Linked DNA regions of Kluyveromyces lactis. The protein of the gene in region 3 interacts with the protein of the main gene of each other region in a pairwise test. Links are inferred from orthologs where the notes say so. Each region holds a gene or a part of one and is shown on either strand. Other genes may lie near its edges.

Region 1 (7,204 bases), on a different chromosome or scaffold from region 3:
ACTACCAAATAAGTGCGATGGAGCTCTTGTTCGATGTGGCGGATCAAGCATTTGAACCTGAGTAAATGTACTAATAAAAAGAAATCATTTAAATATCAAAACTAAGGTAAATTCTATAATAAGTATTGTACGTTACCATTTTCCGATGTATAGTATTCGCCGCATCTCCCAAGCGCGTCTTTGAATTCTCCGCGGCTGATACCCGGGAAAGCAGAAGCGACATATTCAAAAAGTTTTGTCTTTGTACACTTTCTTCTTTGTTTCAACGTCCTGATAATGCATGCACAGACAATTTCAGTGAACCATCTATTATCTGCCTTATCGTTTTCCATAATTTTTGGCGATATTTTAGGAAGATGGTACAGTGTCAATTTACCATCATTAAGAGCTTCCTTTTTGGGTTTGTATTTAGTATTCAGATAAAAACAGTCCTCAGAATCCTTTTTAAACATGTTCATTTGTAAAAACATTTCCATATTGCTGTCAATCTGAGGTATATTGTGCTTTGTTTCTGTCAAAGTGTTTTTTATTTGTTCAAGTGAAAGACGAGCACTGTTATTAAATAAGTGAAATATTGATGCTTGAAGTAGGTTAACGTGAAGTATCACTATTTCAGAAGAAATTCCATGTCTAAAGGGGCTTTTCAATTCCAGAAGATTTAGCTGACACTGGAGTGACATTGTTTTGTGATCATTCCTATCTAAAACCTTGTAGTACTCCCATTGTTTATTCACCATACCATTTAATGGTTCCGGTAGTATGAGTCCTGAAATTTCGGATGAATCCAACGAGTCCGAGATGTTAGATTGTTTAAGAATGACAGGAGTTATCTTTGGAGCTCTCTTCATTCTCAATGATTCAATTAGTTCGTCGTTTAGCTGCTGGAGTTCAAGAATGTGAACTGACTTCAACAGCCCACAGCAAAGTAGCTGTTGGTCGAATCTCTCGTTTGTTTTAATCAGCTGCTCGGAACCCCCCAATGACTTTAGTACCGACCGTAGAAAATATTTTCTCTTATATATGTTCCATAGTAACTCGTCTTGTTTTGAGTCTGGCGGAAAGATGTCGTTCATAAAAATGCAGCATGATCTAACCAGATCTTTAATCCCAGAAAATTGCCCTTCCTCAGAAACCTTACACAACCATCTGTCAACTTTTTCAATATTCTTTATGTCTGCATTAAAAGTCAATGTAATCATATTCTTCATTATTGCCTTTCGATTAGAATCAAAAGATTCGCTTGACATGGAATAGGTGGAGATGAAGGACGACAAATAGTCTTCGTCAAGCATTTTACATATAACTCGTACTACGAAGTTATCATATTCCTCACCTCGCCACGGGTAATAGGCATATATCATATCCCCTAGCTCTTCTATTATTGTTATTATCGTCATTTGATCATCCATACATCTATCGAAGAAATCCTCGAAGTATTTAAACTTCAATAAAAGAATATCCACAGTATTGATGCTTAAATTTTGACATAATATTTGATATTCGGAACAGTAGTATATGATTTGTTTTTGAAGACTGTCGACTCTTTTGAAGTGGTCAGAACTATAAGTAAAGGAGTTAATTATGCGATTAGTGGTTTCTTCAAAAAGCCCCAACACTGACGATTTATCAATTGGAATATCGTACCTGATAATGTTCTTGACCAAACTGAACTGGGATGTTGTACGTGATTCTAACGCTTCGACTATAAACGATTCGATAGTTTGTCGTAGTTGCGAGTGCAATCGATTTGCTATTCTTGAGAAAAAGACTAACGTTGCGTAGCCTTCTAATGATCGGCAGGAGATATTTTCCAAACTATTTGGAAGGTTCCGGAGAAAAGCCTTGGTGTAATATTGCAAAGAGTTCACCTTGCCCTGTATCTTTTTGTAAGCATCTTCTAACTCACATAAGTTTGTTAACCATTCTATATTCGTGAAATCTTCCTCGTCCACCTGTTCATTTATCAATTTGCTAAGAAGTGACCAGAGATCTTCAACAAACGTGTCCTTAAAGACAGCAGCATATTGACTTGAATTACTGGAAGCCTTAGCAAGCCTCGGTACTTTACATCTAATCAATTTTTGCAAAGTGAAATATATCTTTTCATCGTGTTTAAGGTCATCTCCTGGGATTTGATATTGTCTAAGCAGCAGTTCGAGCTCAGATAACAGAGAATCGTACAGAACTTTTGAGCTTTTGATTCGTTCGGGAACCAATAACGGCATGTCACATTGACTGTACGTTGAGGGTGGAACCTTTATGCGATACATACTGTCCCATAACAATTGAAATACTAAGTGTTATATGATCCTACGTACTTGCCCAATACTATATCAAAAAGACATACGAGTCACGTGCCAGGTAAAGGAAGTACATTGTGTTGGCTACGTAACTAGCAGCCAATGACGTAACAGTAGAAGTTTTGGTATACTGAGCTCATGGTATTGTGAAAATATTATTCACCAGAAGTTTACTGTTAGGTTTGAATCCAAGATTAAGTGCAAATATGCCATCTTCTTTCCTGATCAAGAGTCCGTGCTTGACTAAGGATGATAAATAATGGCTGAACATTGCTTGGTTGCGAACGGAAAGAGCACTAATCATTTCATCTAGCGACCAGCTTAGTTTTTTATTGAACAATGTATCAAGAATGACAGCATGACATAAATTGAAGTTTATGGATATGTTGGTTTTTTGAAAAATTGTAGGTTTCATGATGACTCTATGTAGATGCGGTTGATCATAAAAGTGTACATTAATACCATCACTTGTAATCCGTGGTTCGTGTTTGTTAACCCATTTTCCTGGCAGATTAAAAGGAAGTTTTGCCGAATTTTCTGAGTAAATATTAGGAAATATTTTTGCTGGTAAGATGATATCGTTCTTCCTATTGTTTCTCGTTATCTTTAATGACAAATGACTGAACATCCTGTTAATATTATTTAGTGTCCCAGCATCCTGCTGCATTACTATGTAAAAGCGAGCGAGGGGAGCGTCAAGTTCTAGTTTCTTGCCAACTAAAATAGATTTGACTAGATCTATGGTTAGATTATCTCGAATGATTTCTTTTATAACGTATTGCTCAAAATACGAAGCAGAAAATGGTTGAAATTGTCGAGTGTTCTTCAAGAATACTCCTATTTTCGTTAGCCATCTTCTTTCTTTTTCAGTCATGTTGTATGCTTTTTTACCCAACACATCTCCAATGTTGGTAGTGCCTGGAAAATAAGTAAGAATGTGTTTCACCATCAGTCTCATGAATTTAATAGTATTTTTAGAGTCCAATTCAAATGCGTATTGGCGGCTCATTATAGGCTTGCGCTGTTGAAGAATGAAATCCATCATTCGGATCAAGAGGCGGTGGTAATTAGGCCCAACCTCAGTCAAATCTTGTACCCACTTCGTAGTAATTTCGAGGTTAGCAGATAGTATATCCTTTTCGGTCAAAACACTTTGTAAACCACATATATTATAGCTGATACGCTGAGAATTGAGCGGTTGTGATGAACCGAGTTTCTGTGAGATCGAAGCTTTGTAGAAATCAACGTCAGCAAATACAGCAAAAAAACCGGCACGAGTCACTGCAAAAACTTCTTCGGGATATATTTGGAGAGTCACGTTGTGCAAATAATTCATGAAGGTATAAGCTTCCGCTTCAAAGTCCTTAATATCTGACTGTACTTGCAATTGGGTTTTGAAGGTTAATACCAAGCCCTCGAGAATAGATAAGATAAATCGTGGATTAACATCGTTGTTCTTAGGTAGGGATATCGGATCCAAAAAATGATGATAATGTGAATCAAATCCTAAGTCTGAAAATAACTTGCAAACCTCATAAAACTGGTCATTCGATATGGATCTTGTCTCAACCTCAATTTCAAACCCTCTTCTAATTAGATCGTTCAACTCAGAATATAATTTATATCCAACAATGGTGACCAGCCATTGTACGAGAAGTGAGTAATGTCGTATATTTAACCCGAGTTTGTGTAGTGCTCGCTCTAAAGGTAAGAAAAGAGGCTGTATTTTCCTTAGTTGAAGTTTTATTGTTAGGATGTGTTTTGCCAAGCTCCCAATAGTCAATGGACTTTCAATAGTGTTAGTCATATGCTGCATTTCATTGTCAAAGCTTTGTAAGAAACCTCTTGTGACATCGAGTAAACGGTTCTTATTGTCGTCCAATCCATTAGCATCCGAGTACCTTAGTTGGTCAATCCATCGTGTAAGTCGTTTATTCACATCTTTTAACTCATCCTCTGATTTATTCACTAAATTACCGTAGGTGAACCATGTTAGCTCTTTTCCGTTTCGAATATTCATGGGAAGTTAATAGTTCATATCTTTCAGGTGTCATACACAGGGCTCAACGTATAACAAGAAGCTCTATTGCTCCTGCCACTTCTTTGTTGAAGTGCATCTTGAATGGAGGTTTGACTATTGAACTATCTTGTCTTGGCCAAAAAACTGGAAATTTTGGCGATTTTGCAGACCTTTTCTTTGCAATTCAGTGTAAGAAATTGCTACCTTGGTCTGGTATTGATGGTTTCACAATCACCTAAGGGTAGTACACGGCATGAATAGTAATGGTAACGATTTGAAAGAAGAGTCTTTAGATCCTGCCAAATATTTGGCGGAAACTTTTAAGAAGGAGGGTCATTTAGACAGTTTAAAGAATGAAATACTATCTCAAAATGTAGAGGGTGATATTAGCTTGGACGAATTCATAAAGAGCCGAGTAAGGGATTTAGTTCGTGATAGGGTAAATGAAGATGAGTCTTTAATTTTCAAGAACAGAGGTACCACGACTGCTCTTCTTGAGGGCCAATTATTTAAAGACGGATTCAAGAGTTTAAACACGTCAAATATCGATGTGGAGAAGCTTCTGAGTGATTCACTTGACGATGCGACGACGAGACAAAAGATAAGAACTATCCTTGAAGCCAAAACTAATGATAGTTGATTGAACAGATAAAGTAGCAAGGCTGCTACATATATATTTTACTTCGTTAACTAATGTAATATAATAGGTCATCGCAACGGCGACTCTTAAATTTTCTACCGGCTCTATCAACACTTCTATATTTAAATCTATCACCAAGAATTGTATAGGCTAAAGATTCTTCTTCATTGATTGGAATCTCGAAATCGAAAGTTGTTCCTTTCTTCGGTATGCTTTTCAATTCATCGACTAATCCGCCTTTCGTTATGATTATGAATGTCTTTTGAGCATCCCATATTACAATACCATTTTTCCCAGTTAATGACTTGTTTTTGGATTTAGATACCTTCAACTTACACCCGTTATAATCAGCCATAGAGAGCTTGATCAAAGTTTGCTGAGAGTTCAAAGGTAATGGATTTCCAACTTTGTGATTATCTGGGATGTTCAACAATTCTTTCATGTATGGACACCATATATCTTCGAACATGGAGGAGAAAGTTTCAAAATTCGGCAGTTGCTCCAATAAATCTTTGTGTTTCTCTTCAAGGACCCTTTGTAGCTGGTCTCTATCTGAAATTTTTAGTCTCTTGGCTAACTTTTTGCAACTTGCGGATGCATTATTGCATTTGTTTATATATTCCTTCAACAAAACTCTTGAATTCTTGTTCACTGCCTTGTAATTTGGATGTTTTAACCCAGCAGATCCACCCATACTACTTGAATGAAGAAGTTTTGCCTTACTCTTCTTTCTAAGCTTGGTAGACAGACCTCCATCAGTTGGCATCAAGAACAACGTCTGTGTTAATCTATTCTCATTGATAGGTTTCCTTGGATTATCAAAACATTTAGTGAATAAGCACTCTTCTATAAAAGGTTGAATACGATCCATTTTGGAAGCCCGTATATCCGTTCGCGAAGTAACAGCTTTAAAACGCAACACTTACCGAATACTGGTTGTACCCAGCTTTAAAACCGGTAAGATTGTTGTCCCTTCGGCAGAATGTTTCTTTCAAGTTTATCTCATCTCAATTTTTCAAGTTTTACCCGATGAGCTTCCGATATTTGATTTACTTCCATGCACAACGTTGTGAAGATGAAGATATAAATTTCGTTGGGCTGAACAATTTGTGAGGACCTCTATGGGTGAGAAGCATCCATGATCAGTAAATGTACGCATCGAGTAGCGACAACGCTATTGAGAAGTGGTATATCCGTTCCAAAACGACTATATACTCCAGCAAATAATCAGATTCCATTTGAACTGGATGAAACAGATGAAAAATACAAAGAGCTCAACAACATCTATCGTGAGCTCTTCACTCCAACAGATAAAGCTAACATTCTTACTACAAAAGATATTGAATCAAACAAGCGTTCTGAAGTTGATGAAATAAATGAAGAGCTAAATTCCTTGTATTCTGTCGGTGTACTTTCACCAGCGGAGCTGGAAGACGCGGTAAAAAGTAATGGAAGGTTCGTCATCAGAAGTGTATCTACCAACCCATACTTCAACCTAGCTTTAGAGGACTATGTGTTTCGTAATACGCCTTTAACTGAGAACAAAACGGGAAATGAAAGAATACTGCTTTATACCAATGATAAATGTGTCGTTGTCGGTAAGAATCAAAACCCATGGAAGGAAACGTACATGAGAAATATCGCATCAAGAGGGTACAATTTTGTAAGAAGACGTTCAGGTGGAGGTGCAGTAGTGCATGATTTAGGAAATGTTAACTATTCGTATTTGACGTCGAGAGAAAGTTTCCGCAGAGAGTTCTTCAATCAGCAACTTGTACAATGGTTAAGTAATGAGAACATTACGTTGAACGATAGAGGCGATTTGATCTATAAAGGTTATAAGATAAGTGGTAGTGCTTTCAAAATAGCTAAAGGAAAAGCTTATCACCACGGCACAATGCTAATAGATTCAGACCTGGCTCAATTCAAAGGTTTACTAAAACCGGATGTAATTCCTGGGGTTGAATGGACATGTAATAGTGTCGAAAGTGTTAGATCTAAGGTTGATAACATTGGCGGAAAAGCAATATCGTCAATTGATGACTTTTGCAATTTGATTACGGATCAGTTCAGAAATCTGGTTGATGACTCTGAAATTCCTATGTTTTATTGTGATGAATCAAGTTCTTTACTCGAGATCACAGAGATCTCCGAAAACTTACGGAGCAAAGAATGGAAATTTATGTCAGGCCCAAGGTTTGAGGTAATTTGTAATGACGTTACAATAAAGGTCGAGAAGGGTGT
Region 2 (7,183 bases), on a different chromosome or scaffold from region 3:
AAACTTATACAGGAAACAGGTATATCTCCATTAATGACAAGCACTCTGTTTCGGAGACTGAAGAGCCGTTGCATATTGCCAATGACGAAGAAATCATTCCTGAGAAAGATGAAGCAACCAATGAGAATTTAAAGAAGAGAAAACAAAGAGAAAAACTATTGGCAAAGGTGAAGAAGGATCCTATATATATGTTCGGAGGTGCCCTTTCAATCCCAAGCTCTTTGAAACAATGTCAATTATCTTTCAAAGCTTCGATGCCGGTACTTTATCAACTACTAGAACTTCGACGTACTCTTAATGGTCTACTTGACGCACTAGGGACTCTGTCAAATTCAGCTTAAGAACTTTATAATTGCTATGGGAATGATCTTATATCAGAGTTAATACAAAAGAAAACTATCTGTACAATTGCTAATTTGGAAAGAACAGTTTACTGGAAACGAAAATAACGTTGGATGGCGCCAATTGAAAGACGTACAATGAGTGTATATCTGTACACATGCAGATTGGGGATTAATTATTAATAAATGAACGACGAAGGGTTAATCTGTATCAAAAAGAGAGCTGATTTCAGTAAATGCAATAACGAGTGAAAGATGGGTATATTTTCTTGAGAACAATTGTGAAAGTGAATGGAATGGCCCTGGCCACGGGTGAAGATCATAGAATAGATTTATAGTAAATGTTTGAATTTCTAGCGTAGGAAAACTCACTAGAGCTTTCATCCAATGACGATCCAGCATCACTAGGCTGTAGATAGCATAATAAAACATCATCAACTGACCTTCTGGTTCTTGGAGAGTCTAAGTATTCTGATGGCCTTAAAATTGGTGTCAGAATTGGATCAGAGTTTCTTTTCAATGAGTGCTTTGGTGTAATTGATTTTTTTGGTACTGATTTCAAGTCATCCAAAAGCATAGTCTCTAAAAGATCCGCAGAATTTACTGGTGTTTCCCATTGGAATTTGTCTATTTTCTTGTCTCCCGTTTCAGGTGTTGATACCTGGAGGATTGATTGTTCTTCTAGCAAAGTTGGGAACTGATAGTTTTTTAGGAAATCGACATCTACTTCACTGGCATCTGATTGAGAATATTTATGCTTCAAATGTGTCTTCTCTAGGGTAGTTAATTTTGAAATGGAACGCATATGCGAATCGTTTAGCAAGGAGGTAGCCATTGTTGAAGTTGATGTCACTCTTTGGTTCGAGTACGTACTGGATCCAACCGAAGAACGTTTTGTAGATGACCCTCTAGAAACCAGATGGTGTTTAGCATATGGAATTGCATCTGTTACGAAAGCTTTAGTCATTTGCGTTGGGGAATTGATTGTTGAGTTTGTCGGAAATTTGGTATTTTCCGGTATATCCTGTAAGTGACTGTTAGATGGTGGTGGTGAATCTGCAGTAGGCATTTCAAATCCTGCCTTAGAATCTGCATGTGAGATGTGATTAAATCCAAATGGGACAGAAATTTTTAACTTAGGAGGTTCTTCTTTACTTGATTTATTTTGAAACAGTTTTAAGAGGCTGTTCTTCTTCTTCTTGAAAGATTTCTTTCCAGATTGTTTATCATACGCATTTGGCGGCAATGGAGGAAGATTAATGTTTTTCCTATTACTTAAGACAGGTTTATCACTATTGATCATTACAACGCCCAATTCATCATCATCGTCAGAATCCAGAAGCTGGTGAGCTTGTAAACCATATAATTTTTCTGTTTCATCGTCTTCATCGAGCCAGATCGACTTGATCTGAGGTACGTTCATCATAAGTATTGGCCCAGATCTGTTGGTTGTTTTATTCGGCAATGCCTGGTTTCTGATGATTCAAATCATGGCCTTTGTACCCTGGATCATGTTTATCCGTTTATATATACATATATCGGCCGCGTCCACAGTGGTAATGTTTCATGCATTCCTAGGTTTCACAATTTTCTGACATTTTTCGCATCTATGGTTAACTACTACTGGATTCAGTTAATTTAGGAATTCCTATATTAGGTAAAAACACGATTTTTCATTTTCGCACCCTCTTCAGGAATGCAGATACGTTTCGTTGATCGAAAATTAATGTTTTCTAACCTCTCTAATTCACCATCGCCAATCCGGTTTTTTCTTTTTTCTTGGGTTTCATGTCTTCTTTTTTTCTTTTGGCGGCCGTTATTTTTTCTCAAGTTTCTACGGCTTTTTTTCGTGGGTTAGATAAGTCATTAGTTGACCCAACATGGTTACCAATTACGACTATTTCACATTTTTACTCCATAGACTTTCTAGACTCTTAGAACTGGCGGTTCTAGGTTCCTCGGACTCTTTGGAAAAGCTTGGTTGGGGTGTGTATTCATCGGAAATGCTCAAACTATTGAAAGAAATTTCAATGAACTCAGAAAAGTCTTTCACTATCGCATTATTCTCGGAGTCATCTGCTGAAATCGATGTCGGGGTGAGATTTACGCTCAATTTTCGTCTGTTGGTTGAATCCATTCTCGGTATCACTGGCCTAGTACCTGCTCTATAATCTCTCTCCATTGCAAAATTCATATATTTGATTTTATCCAATTCTTGGTTCGATAACGGTTCTGTAACAAAAGCCCTAGAGCGCTTGGAAAGGAATGTACTATTATTCGTTCTTGCAATATCAGGTGTCGTTGGACGACCAGCCAATAAGTTTTTAATGTCATCGCATTCGCTCAAGGACTTCTCTATACGTTGTTCCCAATTTTCTTTCCGTTTATCCTTCAAACTGCTTCTTTTAAGAATGGAAGAGCGTCTCCATTTTCGTAAGTAACTCTTCACCTCGCCCATTTTAACTTTGTGTGGCACTTGTTTTCCCAAGTTACTGCCTTACGTACTGTCTGTGTTTTTTATATAATAGACCGTTTCTATGTAAGGCGGTTTATGATTCGAAGAAGAAAATCGTAAAGTCTCCAAGCTGGATACTTTTATACTCTTTTCAATAGCCGCTGAGCTTTTGATCGGATTTACACCATGTATGTGTTGCGGGTAACAGTAACCTGCTCTTTTTACAGATATTAGAATGAAAAATAACTTTGGGTTTAGAACTTGATAGTAAGTTTGACTTTGGAAACTAAACGTAAAATTGGACATGTTAAAGATGAACTCAAAGTGGATTGAAATCACCGATATCATTACTCTTACCCATAATTTCCTAAATTTACCTTGTATCCATCTTTTGCTTAATGCTTATTGTACTATTTTCCTTATATAAATATAAAATCTATTATATATCGTATTATCGGTACTATTGAATGCTTCGAGAGATTCAACAGTAGAAGTGCAGTATGAAAATTAAGTTCATGGTAATTCAGCTTTTTGTTCTTTTCGAGTCATCACTTTCCAGTGTATCTGGGTTTTTCCTTTTGACTATTTTGAACGATGAATTCTGTGTAAAATCTTCATTGACTACATCTTCGTTACCAATACAAATGACTTGCTTATAGCTCTTATTTCTTAATCTACCATTTAGAAGTACCAAACTAGCAAGCTCGCCCATGGATTTACGAGATTTGTCATTCGGAAGCCCAATAAAGTTCAAAATGCTTGTAACTCCAATGACATTACGACATTCTAGTGGGCTGGTTGCTCCACTACTGACCACGATTCCTCTGTTCCTGCAAGTTCTGATCACACTCTTCACGTTAGATACGAACTGCCTACGTGTTCTGATATCTCGAAGAGCGTTAGCATAAACAATTTCTACTTTGACTCCTCTCTTAATGCAACCCCCCATCATGTGATGTTTCAAAAGTGTAGGAAGCCTTTTGTCGTAGTAAAATGATAGCACATCAACATCCAAGCTAGACGTTACGAGAGTAACAGCCTTTTCACTGACTGGAAGGGCTGCCACAATATCGAAAGCTTGCGATATCTTTGTCAACGGCTGGCCTTTTGAAAGGTCATCTATAATAATTGTGATTCTTGTATATAGCTTTAATCCCGTAGATTTCACTAGTTCATCAAAATGCGATAGATCGATAGGATTCATATCATTGATTGATTTTGGGAATTTATCCTGTTGGTTTACTGTGAAATTTAAAGCTATGTGAGTGTACCCTAGTGTATGCAATGTCGCTAGAGTCTTGTGCAGCGTTTTAATCTCCTTCGTGGAAGGCGGTGTTGCAAAATCCTTCTGTGGCCAAGGAACGTTTAAATCAACTAACATCCTTTCAAATAGCTATTTTGCTTTGCAAATTTGGAAGGAGTATTTACAAGTGATTCAACAGAAACTTTTGTTTCCATTTGAGTGTCCAGCATACCTCATCTCATGCTCATGTTTCATTATTTACTAGATTTTTTTTTTGGTAGATTATTGTAATGTCTTTTCCGAAAAAATTATACTTGAAGATATTATAACATACTATGAAGTACAATCCTTACTTGAAAGCCCAACTGTTGAAAAATACAACTTTAAACTTCATCCAATCGGCCATGTCACAATGTTTTTGAGTATGAGAACAATATTATCTAAATAGAATAATTGTCAGTTTATTTATAGAGTACATACCTTACTATTTGTTCCATAAAGTGATAAAATGTCCGTTAAAATAGGTTTGATGAAAAACAGCGCCCAAAAAGGAACCATTATGATCTATGTGCATAAATATCATTGCGTAGAGTTCACATCTTCTGAATCTTTCGGTAAAGAAGGTAAGTGCTGATCTTGATTTACAGCTACCGCCCCAGTAGCATGGTTTGTATTTTCTTCAGTTCTATTTCCAGCCAGTTCCGGAACTGGGGTTTCTGACTGTTGTTGGACATGCTCAGTGTGTAATTCCTTTGTTCCCTTGTCTGCGGGAACATCATTCGTAACATAAGGCTGTTCTAGAGGGCCTTCACTGTTTTCTTTGTATGGAATAGAACTTGATTTCTTGTTTGAATTTTTGCTACCATCTTCTAGGAAATCAAGAACCAAAATATTATCGATTTCTCTATTAATATTCATGACATCGACGCCATTTTTACCAACAAGCGGTAGTTCAGTGCCTCTGGCGAACATCCATTCTCTCCAATGAGTATTCGTATTATCACATAAATCAAAAAGAATCATTTTTAAAAGGGTAATGTGGTTGTAAAACCATGAAACCGACCTATTGATGAAGACTCTGTAATTTTCCATTTCTTTGATTGCATGCAACAATGTATAATTGTGGAAACCTCTCTTATCTTTCGACTTGTCTCTCCAAAACTCAAATAATGCAAATAAGGCTTTCCGTCTTTGCCAAGTTCTCTTAGATTCTCTTAGCTTTAGACCTAAACTTACCAATCTATTCTCCCAACGGAATTCCATCAGGAAATATTCTAATGAATTGACGTATCTCTCGGTTAATATGACATTGGACAAAACTTGACAAGCCATTGAGGTTTCAATCTCAACGTCTGGTTTAAGGAAATACGCGTTGATTCTATCCTGTCTTGTTAACTCGGCGTAATCTTCTTCATGCATTGTTAATTTAATCAATTCGTCTTCTTTGTGTCTGAACTTCAAATCCAAATACTCTCCCGCTGTGATTGGAATTGTAGAACCTTTTCTATAAAAAAAACCTTCACGGCAGTAAAGTTCCACAGGGGATGACATTAACAAAGACGCTGCATTTTCTTGGGATTGATTGTTAGAGCTTGGTCTTCCCCTTTTATCTTTCTTTTCTGGTAACATCGGAATCATCCTGCTCATCTTTCGACGATCATGCAATGTTAGATGCCTTTTCTTATTTGGTGATTCACCACCAGATTGTAAAGTGGTGACGGAAAAGTTATCCTGCGAGTTTTCTGTCGAATCAACAGATAATTGAGAACTTGGTAATGCGTCTGCAGATCCTTGAGGAGTCGAATTTGGCATGTCTAACAGATGAGGTCTAGCCGAGCCATTCTCTTCTGTTTTTACACCAGTAGATGCATCATCATTCAAGATAGACAAGATTCTGACCTTACGTGGTCCCTCTGCTTCGTTGGACATTTGAGATCGATCACCGATGTCCGAAGATGTTCTTTTCACAGAGCCGTTCAGATCCTTGTGCTCAGAATTCAGTAACGACGATTTTTGACCGTTAACATCATCCGCACTTGCCGTAGAAACTGAGCCTACATTGCCTGGTTGTTCCAAATTGTTATATGCTGATATAATTGTTTGTGGTGTCACAGAGCGAGCAGAGTCTGGAGGATTAGACGAAGGTGATTGAGCACCAGAAGAATTCTCCGCTGTTTGCGACAGGGAGAAAGGTACTTTTGATAACTCTTCCAAATGTTTACTTGAAAGTTGATATTTACCCAACGGTACTGGAACGCTGAAAGGCACCGCTGTCATTCTTTTCTTCCGTTCTTCTTGTTTCATGGCCATGAAAAGATCTTTGTTGAGTTCCATGAAATTCCTGGTAACGTTACGATCGCTATATTTCATGGTGACTAGCATCCTTTCTCTTTCATCTCTTTTCATTTCGAGCTCCTTCTGTTTTCTGGAACGAGAGTCATGCATATCATTAGCCAACTGTTTCTGATCGTCTGTGACATCGCCCTCATCATCTTGCCCTTCATTATCAGACATACCGGAAAACGATGATGAAAGATCCGATTGTTCATCATATTGGCGCGAACCACTTTTCAATCTTTGAGATTTGCGTCTAGAGCTAGAGCTTTGCCTTTCCTTGGTATCATTATCTGCAGCATTTGTCTTTCTTTGTGAAGAAGTGAGTTGAGCTTCCCATGTGCTTTTCTTTGAAGGTCTACCTCTACGTTTCTTTGGTTCCTGAGGAGTCTCTTGCTTGACGTTAGCAGAACTACGAGATCGACTGTTGCCAACCCCATCTGCATCATAACCTGAGTTGGACTCCGTCTTTTCTTTACTTGGGTCCAGGAAAAGACGTTTTGATTTTGATATATGATCGCTTGGGAATGGCAATTTCGCCTTTTTATCGCCATTGGACAATATCGAAGTGTTCTTCTTAGGTGGTCTACCAGGTCCCCTATGAGGAGGAGAGACGCTTGCAGATGACATATATGCGGGTGATCCATACGCAGCAGTTCCCATCGTCCCTGACGATGCACCTGATGTCGCGGACATCGTTAACCTATCGGATAACAACCTGTTGATCTTGATGATCTCCACGGATAGATCGTTTATGGCCGCATCTGAATTCACCTGGTTCTTTAAAAGGTCCTCGAATTTCGTTTCCAA
Region 3 (6,974 bases):
GTCAAGTCTTATTAGAAGCGTTTCCTTAAAGTTTTGGAAGATATGGATGCGATCTGGAAGAGCACAACGGGGCGGTCTGATACCAGCCCATCGCAAAGCACTCAGAGCCTGTTAAATGACAAGCTTGTTGAGAAGATTATATATATGGCATTGCCTGCCTCTAATGATCTGGCTACTGATACTATAGAGAATAGGGTACAGGCAGGTGCAGGAAGACCTGGCTTGTCTGTGCCGATAATGAGTAGGAACTTCGTGCAGATGAATTCGAGGCTTGGCGCCCCATTCATGATCATTGATGAGATAATAAGGATCTTCAATTGGACTAATGCAGCTTATACTTTATGCATAATGTCATTCTATTCGTTTCTAGTGTTGAAACCATTACCAGTGCTTGTATCGGGTCCTTTCGTGTACATTCTATTTGGCATCATGTCACCAACGTATATGGATATACATAAGCCTGATCCTCACATGAACTTAGATCATAACCCAATTCCTGCTCGCGGGCCTCCGTTGAAAAATCCACAATTGCCAGGTCCTGTTCCAGAGTTTAGCAAGGAGTTCATATTAAACTTAACTGACTTGCAGAACCATATGACGTTATATGTGATGGCATACGATTTCGTATCGAATTTTTTGGCTAAGTTTGCATACTTTAAGAACGAGAATGTCAGTTCGGCCGTATTTCTAGGACTACTGCTATTCTCTTGTATCAATTCGCTAGCTATTGATAGTATTTCCTCGCTAATACCTTGGAAATTCATCTTTTTATGTGCCGGATGGACTTTTGTAATATCGTTACATCCAAAGATAAGGGACACCATGTTTAATTTGATGTATTCAGAGGAGACACGGTTAAGGATACTTACCAAGATGAACCACATAGAGCGTATTATAAACGATAAATTTGATTCTTATGAACCCAGAGAAAGAAGAGAAGCTTCGATATTCGAGCTTCAGAGGTTCAATGCGGAGGAAAAAAGTTGGGAATTGGTTGGTTATTCTACAGATGAATACGCATTGTTTTCTGAGAGTAGGATGAAAGAGCTATCGACCAGTCAAATACCTAACGTTCAGACATTGGCAGAAGTAAAGCCTCCTGCAGAATGGGATTGGCTACTTAATGTAGATTGGACTTTAGACCTTCATCCTACGGAATGGGTATCTGCAGGTTTCATACAGTACGTTGATGTTGACAATGAAACAAAATGGGTATATGATGTGGAGCTGAATGGTGAAAGGGGCCAATACAGGAGACGAAGATGGGTGAAAGCTTGCATCAGACAGAAACATTTTACAGCTGCAGTGAAGAATGGTGGAAACAGCACCACAAAAAGTAATGAAGTTAACGAAACCGATGATGAAATGGAATCAGTAGATCGAAATTTATACAATGGCTATGCTTCGATTACACAAACATCATTCTCTGGTGCCGATAAAAACGCTACAAAGACTAATGATGCAAATAATGATAACGGCATAGTTAAGTCCCCTTCGACTGCATCCATATCCAGCTTTATCAGTCAGGGAAGCACAAACTCCGTAGCTCAACAAACAAATTCTGCTGAAAAATCGAAAGCTGTGAGGAGCTTAACTGATCTCCTTAGTTTGACAGGCTGATAACAATTACGAACTCTCTTATGAGATTATTTTTCTTTGATCGTTGTATATCGACAGAAAAACCGTCTTCCTAGCTCTAATTTTTACAACTAACATTTTAAGTGTAGACTCTCTTTTCTGTTTATAGTTATTTCATGAAATCCATAAGACTTAATGATACATTTTTCTTCTTTGATTCCTCTTTCTCCTTCTTACTTGCCAATAAGTTGGATAACGTTGACTGTTTCCTTTTCTTAGCTCTCTCCTTCGCAGTGGTATTTTTCTTGATCTTATCATCATTGACTTCGGGAGACGATTGTCTCGGCCATTGGATATCGACTTTGGGAGATGGCTCCTTACTGGAAGCATCTTTTTTGGGCTCCGTTTTATCTACCTCGATGTTATATTCGCTCTGGCAATGGCCACATTGATATCTCAAATTCCGAGTTACTACCCCGTTCTCGTCAGTTTCTCTCAGCAATTTCATTGTAAGGTTATATCCGGCTATCCTTACACACCCACAGTTCCCACAGAACTTGACATTATCAGCACGGATGCTCTCGGGTAACGGCAGTCTATATCTCTTTGCTGTATTGTAGAAATTCTTCAAGTATAATCCGGACAATTGTGGTTCTCCCAATCGCTGCACATGATGTATCATATTGTATTTATGGGCCATGGTCCGATCCATGAATTTTTCCCTATCCCTTCTGCCACTCATTTCAATAGTTTAAATGCCACCCTGAAGTGTCGCTGAACGCTTGCCCTCTTATTTAATATGTCCTTTATCCGCATCTTGTACATGCGATGAGATGAGATCATCTTTCGTAATTTTTCACTTTAATTCTGATTACTTAAAGGGAAGTGAAACTGGCACAAGCTGAGGCAAAGCTGTTCACCTTGCTCGTGATGTATTATTCGTTACTTGATAGGGTTATTTATACACTCTATGCTAAGGGGGTATTTGGAGAGTTTTTATCTAGTACTCTATGATTTTAGATTGAATATAAAAAAGCTTATCGTAACTATACTATTTTGTTTCGTTTCATTTCATATCGGTCAGGTAATGCGAATATAAGAAAGGGTCTCGTATCCTGCTGACATTAGGATACAGAGCTTGTAGTTCTTGGTGACATGCTAAACATTTCTTCTGGAGAAGGTAGCATACATAGCGATTTTGTCTTCTTGAGTTTGGGTATCGATTTTTCGTTGGGTAAAGTTGCCGTCTTTCTTTTCTTCGGACTATTCGGAGGAGTAGTTGGTGATTGAGAAGACTGTGAAAGCAGTTGTTTTTCTTCCCTTTGCCTTTTCCTTAACTCACTAGCCTCTCTTTTCATTTGTCTAACCTTTTCTAGTTGTTGCTGCGATAGGAAAAAGTCGCTCATATGTTTCTTTAATTCCGTGACCCATTCGTCGCAATCAGATTCTATTTGGTAGTCTATAATCCCATGCCAGTTACAATCACCTATGCTTGTCTTATTAATTAGTATTACTAAACCACCACGATCATGAACTTGTTTGCTAATTGTTTTCACCAATCTTTTGACACCATCAACTTTTAAACTTGTTCCCATGATCAAAAACAAATCAGGTTTCCCTCTGTTGATATCCATGTTCAATCCCTGTGTAATAAAATCTGCGTTTGGGTGGTTCTCGCCGTAAAGAACTATGTTAGGACGTAGCATACCCGAATGACCCAAACATCTTTTACCCTCGATAGATCTTCTGTTATTCTTTTCGAGACACTTTGGACACACTGGAAGTTCTCCGTTCTTCAAACAACGTTTCCAATGCCTTGACCATGAGAAGACTTTGAAACACTGTGTGCATGAGAGTGTTGTCAAATCTCCATGTAATTGTACAACATCCAAATTTTTCCATTGGATGGAGAATGATTGATCTGCATCCCTAGATTTTGACATCTGTAATCCTAACATTTCTTCTAACCCATCAATATTTTGTGTGTAACAACGTAAAAGTTTGCCCCTGTTCTTTAAATGTGCTATAAATTCGTGCGTCTTTGTTGGTTTGGCTTGAATTGTGTGTGAATATAGATTCTCCATGAATGAAGCAAAAACACTGATTTTCTCTTCTTCTCGAAATAGCGATATATCAAACATATCCTGTCCTGACCTGATATTCACATCAGGGTATTGTTCTTTAACCATCCTATAAAGACCTTCAAATGACCTAAAATCTGGTATTCCCGCATTACAGGATATTCCAGCTCCTGTAAGTACAGCACATTTCCTAGATCTATGTATCACACGGTTAATTTGTGAAATCAACTCGCTATTTTCATTGGTCTCTCGATACTCTGATAAAGACAAATGCTTTACTCTTTCCGTTTGGATCATGGACCCCAGTGTGACTTTCCTTGAACTTTGACTACAACATCCTTCAGATTCCTGAGAAGATGAAACTCCAGCATCATTCTCTTCCATTTTCAGATTCTTGCTCGGACTGAGCACTATAGCAGACATGTCGAATGATATATTCTGGATAGATAGATAACCGTTAGTTTCACTCCTGGGTTAAAACCGATTAGAATCAAAAAATATAACCAGTTTTCTGTTCTTCTCCTGACACTTAGTTCGAAATGTAAAGAATATTTCTTGAGACCGGTGCCAGCTGATTTATAGGTGTCGCTGGTCGTCTGCACACCGAGTCTTTGTCGGTTACGAGAAACCTCCCAGTGTCTAGTTTGTCTTTGGCAAGAATGTCAAAGTTATAAATCGTTGAAAACCTTAAAAAAGCTTTAAAGTGACAGAGATGTTTAGTTTACAAATTTCCAAATCAGGAAAGAGACCAATATTGATGGAGATGAGGAACAATAGCTGAGAGCTAGGAAATGTTGGCAAGGCTGTGATAGTCGTTTCAAAGGGCCCTTGTTGATTTGTTTTTTGCACGATGATATATTATATTCGTATGTTATACAGAGATATATATGGGTGTATTTAAAGATTGGTCATTTGTAAAGGTAAAATAATGATATAAAAGAAGATAATATTTTTATTATTAAGTTTAACAAACTGACCAAGTTTATTCTTCGTCTTCCAAAGTGGCAGCGGCGATACGGTCCAAATCTCTCAAACCGTTGTCAGAGATTCTTCTACCACCCTTTGGAGAGATTTCGACGACACCCAACTTTTCCAAGGATTGCAAAACCTTTCTGTTGATGGAACCGGAAGCGTCGACGTGCTTGTGTGGTCTGACACCTCTGTTCTTGGCACCACCGTACAACTTGTTCAACTTACCGACACCGACTTGCTTTCTCAAGTAGATGTGTCTGGCGACAGAGGCAGCTCTCTTGTAGAACCAACCTTCGGAGTCTTGTGGTGGCAATTCATTACCAGCGGAAGTCTTGACGATGTCAACGTAACCTGGAACTTCCAACTTACCTTGTCTTTGCAAGAAAGAAGCGTAGTTGTTGATGAAATCTTGAGCTGGAACGTCTCTATAAGTAAATATTCATGCGAATGAATTGTTAGTAAAAATGGTTCAAAAAACGGTTTAAATTCGGGGATAGATATTGATTTCAACGTTGGTCTGTCATCAGGGAACAGCTGTAGTTTTAAGTAATAGTTTTTTCGTCATTTTCTGCAGTACTTGGGTCACATTGGGAATTGGTAGTATCGTCTCAGAATTTGTGATGTCATGACATATCTCGCTCTAACTGTGAACATCCCACATCAAATAGTTTTCCATGAAAACTATGCCCAATGCTAATCTAGTATTTCTGATTACTGTACAATATTCTGCCTCTTTATATTCTTACGCAACATTATTCGTTTCGTTAATTGGTCGATGCCTCTCAGTACTCAATATTCCTCAGTTAAATTGTAAATACATTCTTTCCACGTCTTGTCATATCGGGTACATCTAGTACAAGTTTCTATATCCTATGTCGTTTTCATGGTTTGCTCTTATTGCATCGTCCCATCCGTATTCAAATCTCTAATCTCCCGTTGTAATTCATGTATAATTCGTTCACGTACCTAACGGAAACACCTGGCATTTTGTTCTTGACTTCTGGATATCGTTACTCGAAACAACTAACCAAAGCTAAACACTAAAAGATCTAATCTTTAACTATGAATAAGCCTTATTTACACTATATCAATCGTTAACTAATTCAATAACTTATTCACCAGTATCAAATATCACAATAGCATTTGGAAATTTTTGGTGAAGCTGGCAGCCAGGACGGCCACTGAGACTGAGCCAGACAGGGCCGGGGAGAGGAACTGGCACTGGACTGCCATGAATGGAGTTCAGGCTAGGAAGAGGAGAAGCTAGGCTCAGTGGATGGAAGGATAGGCGGGAAGGATAGGCGGACGGTTGCCCTACGCCAGGTGTGGCATCAGTCCTGAGACGTTCTTCCCCAGGGAGGAACCTTTCGGTCCCTGGGGATGACCAGTCGGTAATGGAGAAAGAGACAGAGATGATAATTTCCTATTTAGGTATACAATAGTATTTTCAAGAATTACATGCGTCTATAATATACGGTGTATGGGTGTTGAAACTGGAAAAGAACAGAGCAGTCCTGTACGTTCTCACACAGATCAGAAACTGACGATACCTTCACCTCTGATATACCGATGAAGACTTGCACAATCAGGTGATCATGCTCAGCGTAAGTAATTAATCGTATGAATTTTATTCTATTATACACACGGGAACCTTCCCCGGACATAAACACTTGAAGATAATATTAACTAGTAGTAGCAACGTTGCAAAAAAAGGTAATGGCCATCTTGTATTATAACAATCTTTTTATTATGGAATAATAAGCTAGCTATAGAATACGAAATAGAGCCTTTGCCTCGAAAGCAAGAGGATGCAAGATGCGAGTAAACAGAAAGGAAAAATTAATATGAAATCATATTTCCGGATTTGCTTACACCTTGAAGGCTCTAGATCTACGTCTACCTCTAGCTCTTTCGAACTTTCTACCGGTAGATTGGATTCTTGGAGCCTTACCCTTGTGAGGACCGAAACCGAAGTGTCTAGCAGCTTCTCTGGAAGCTCTTGGACCTCTGACGATCAAGGTGTTTTGACCCTTTGGAGCTCTAACAGCCAATTGATCCAAAGTGATGGCTTCACCACCAGCCTTCAAGATCTTAGCCTTGGCACCAGCAGTGAATCTCAAAGCAGCAACGGTGGTCTTTGGGAATTCAAAGATTCTGTTGTCATCGGTAACAGTACCAACAACGACAATGGTCTTTTGAGCAGCACCTTCTTGCTTCAAGGCTCTAGAGATTCTGGAAACAGAAACTGGTGGTCTGTTGATCTTGGACAAGAACAAAGACTTCAAGATAACCTTGTTGAATGGAGCATCAGTACGACCTTAATTGAATTTACAGTTGTAAATT

The links.
Region 1: the proteins of SNM1 (region 3) and POP4 interact in binary tests that used the Saccharomyces cerevisiae proteins (3 or more experiments, as listed by UniProt). The link is inferred for Kluyveromyces lactis from reciprocal best matches to the Saccharomyces cerevisiae genes SNM1 and POP4.
Region 2: the proteins of SNM1 (region 3) and RPP1 interact in binary tests that used the Saccharomyces cerevisiae proteins (3 or more experiments, as listed by UniProt). The link is inferred for Kluyveromyces lactis from reciprocal best matches to the Saccharomyces cerevisiae genes SNM1 and RPP1.

Annotation. Positions count from the first base shown.
Region 1 is NC_006042.1:193,126-200,329, forward strand, and holds POP4 (RNase P/RNase MRP complex subunit), read right to left. Parts: upstream 5,832-7,204; coding exon 5,007-5,831; downstream 1-5,006. Other genes in the region: GTPase-activating protein RGD1, read left to right, coding at 1-65; cullin RTT101, read right to left, coding at 114-2,270; KLLA0_F02167g (uncharacterized protein), read right to left, coding at 2,437-4,320; SHG1 (Shg1p), read left to right, coding at 4,574-4,960; AIM22 (putative lipoate--protein ligase), read left to right, coding at 6,099-7,204. UniProt on the Saccharomyces cerevisiae protein: Required for 5.8S rRNA and tRNA processing; associated with RNase MRP and RNase P.
Region 2 is NC_006039.1:1,284,442-1,291,624, reverse strand, and holds RPP1 (RNA-binding RNA processing protein RPP1), read right to left. Parts: upstream 4,178-7,183; coding exon 3,320-4,177; downstream 1-3,319. Other genes in the region: VMA22 (Vma22p), read left to right, coding at 1-341; GIC2 (Gic2p), read right to left, coding at 661-1,767; KLLA0_C14740g (uncharacterized protein), read right to left, coding at 2,239-2,799; SUM1 (Sum1p), read right to left, coding at 4,619-7,183. UniProt on the Saccharomyces cerevisiae protein: Component of ribonuclease P, a protein complex that generates mature tRNA molecules by cleaving their 5'-ends. Also a component of RNase MRP, which cleaves pre-rRNA sequences.
Region 3 is NC_006037.1:641,932-648,905, forward strand, and holds SNM1 (Snm1p), read right to left. Parts: upstream 2,321-6,974; coding exon 1,748-2,320; downstream 1-1,747. Other genes in the region: PEX29 (Pex29p), read left to right, coding at 43-1,620; NAD-dependent histone deacetylase HST3, read right to left, coding at 2,703-4,082; KLLA0_A07194g (40S ribosomal protein eS19), read right to left, coding at 4,642-5,056, 5,598-5,617; KLLA0_A07227g (60S ribosomal protein eL18), read right to left, coding at 6,500-6,948.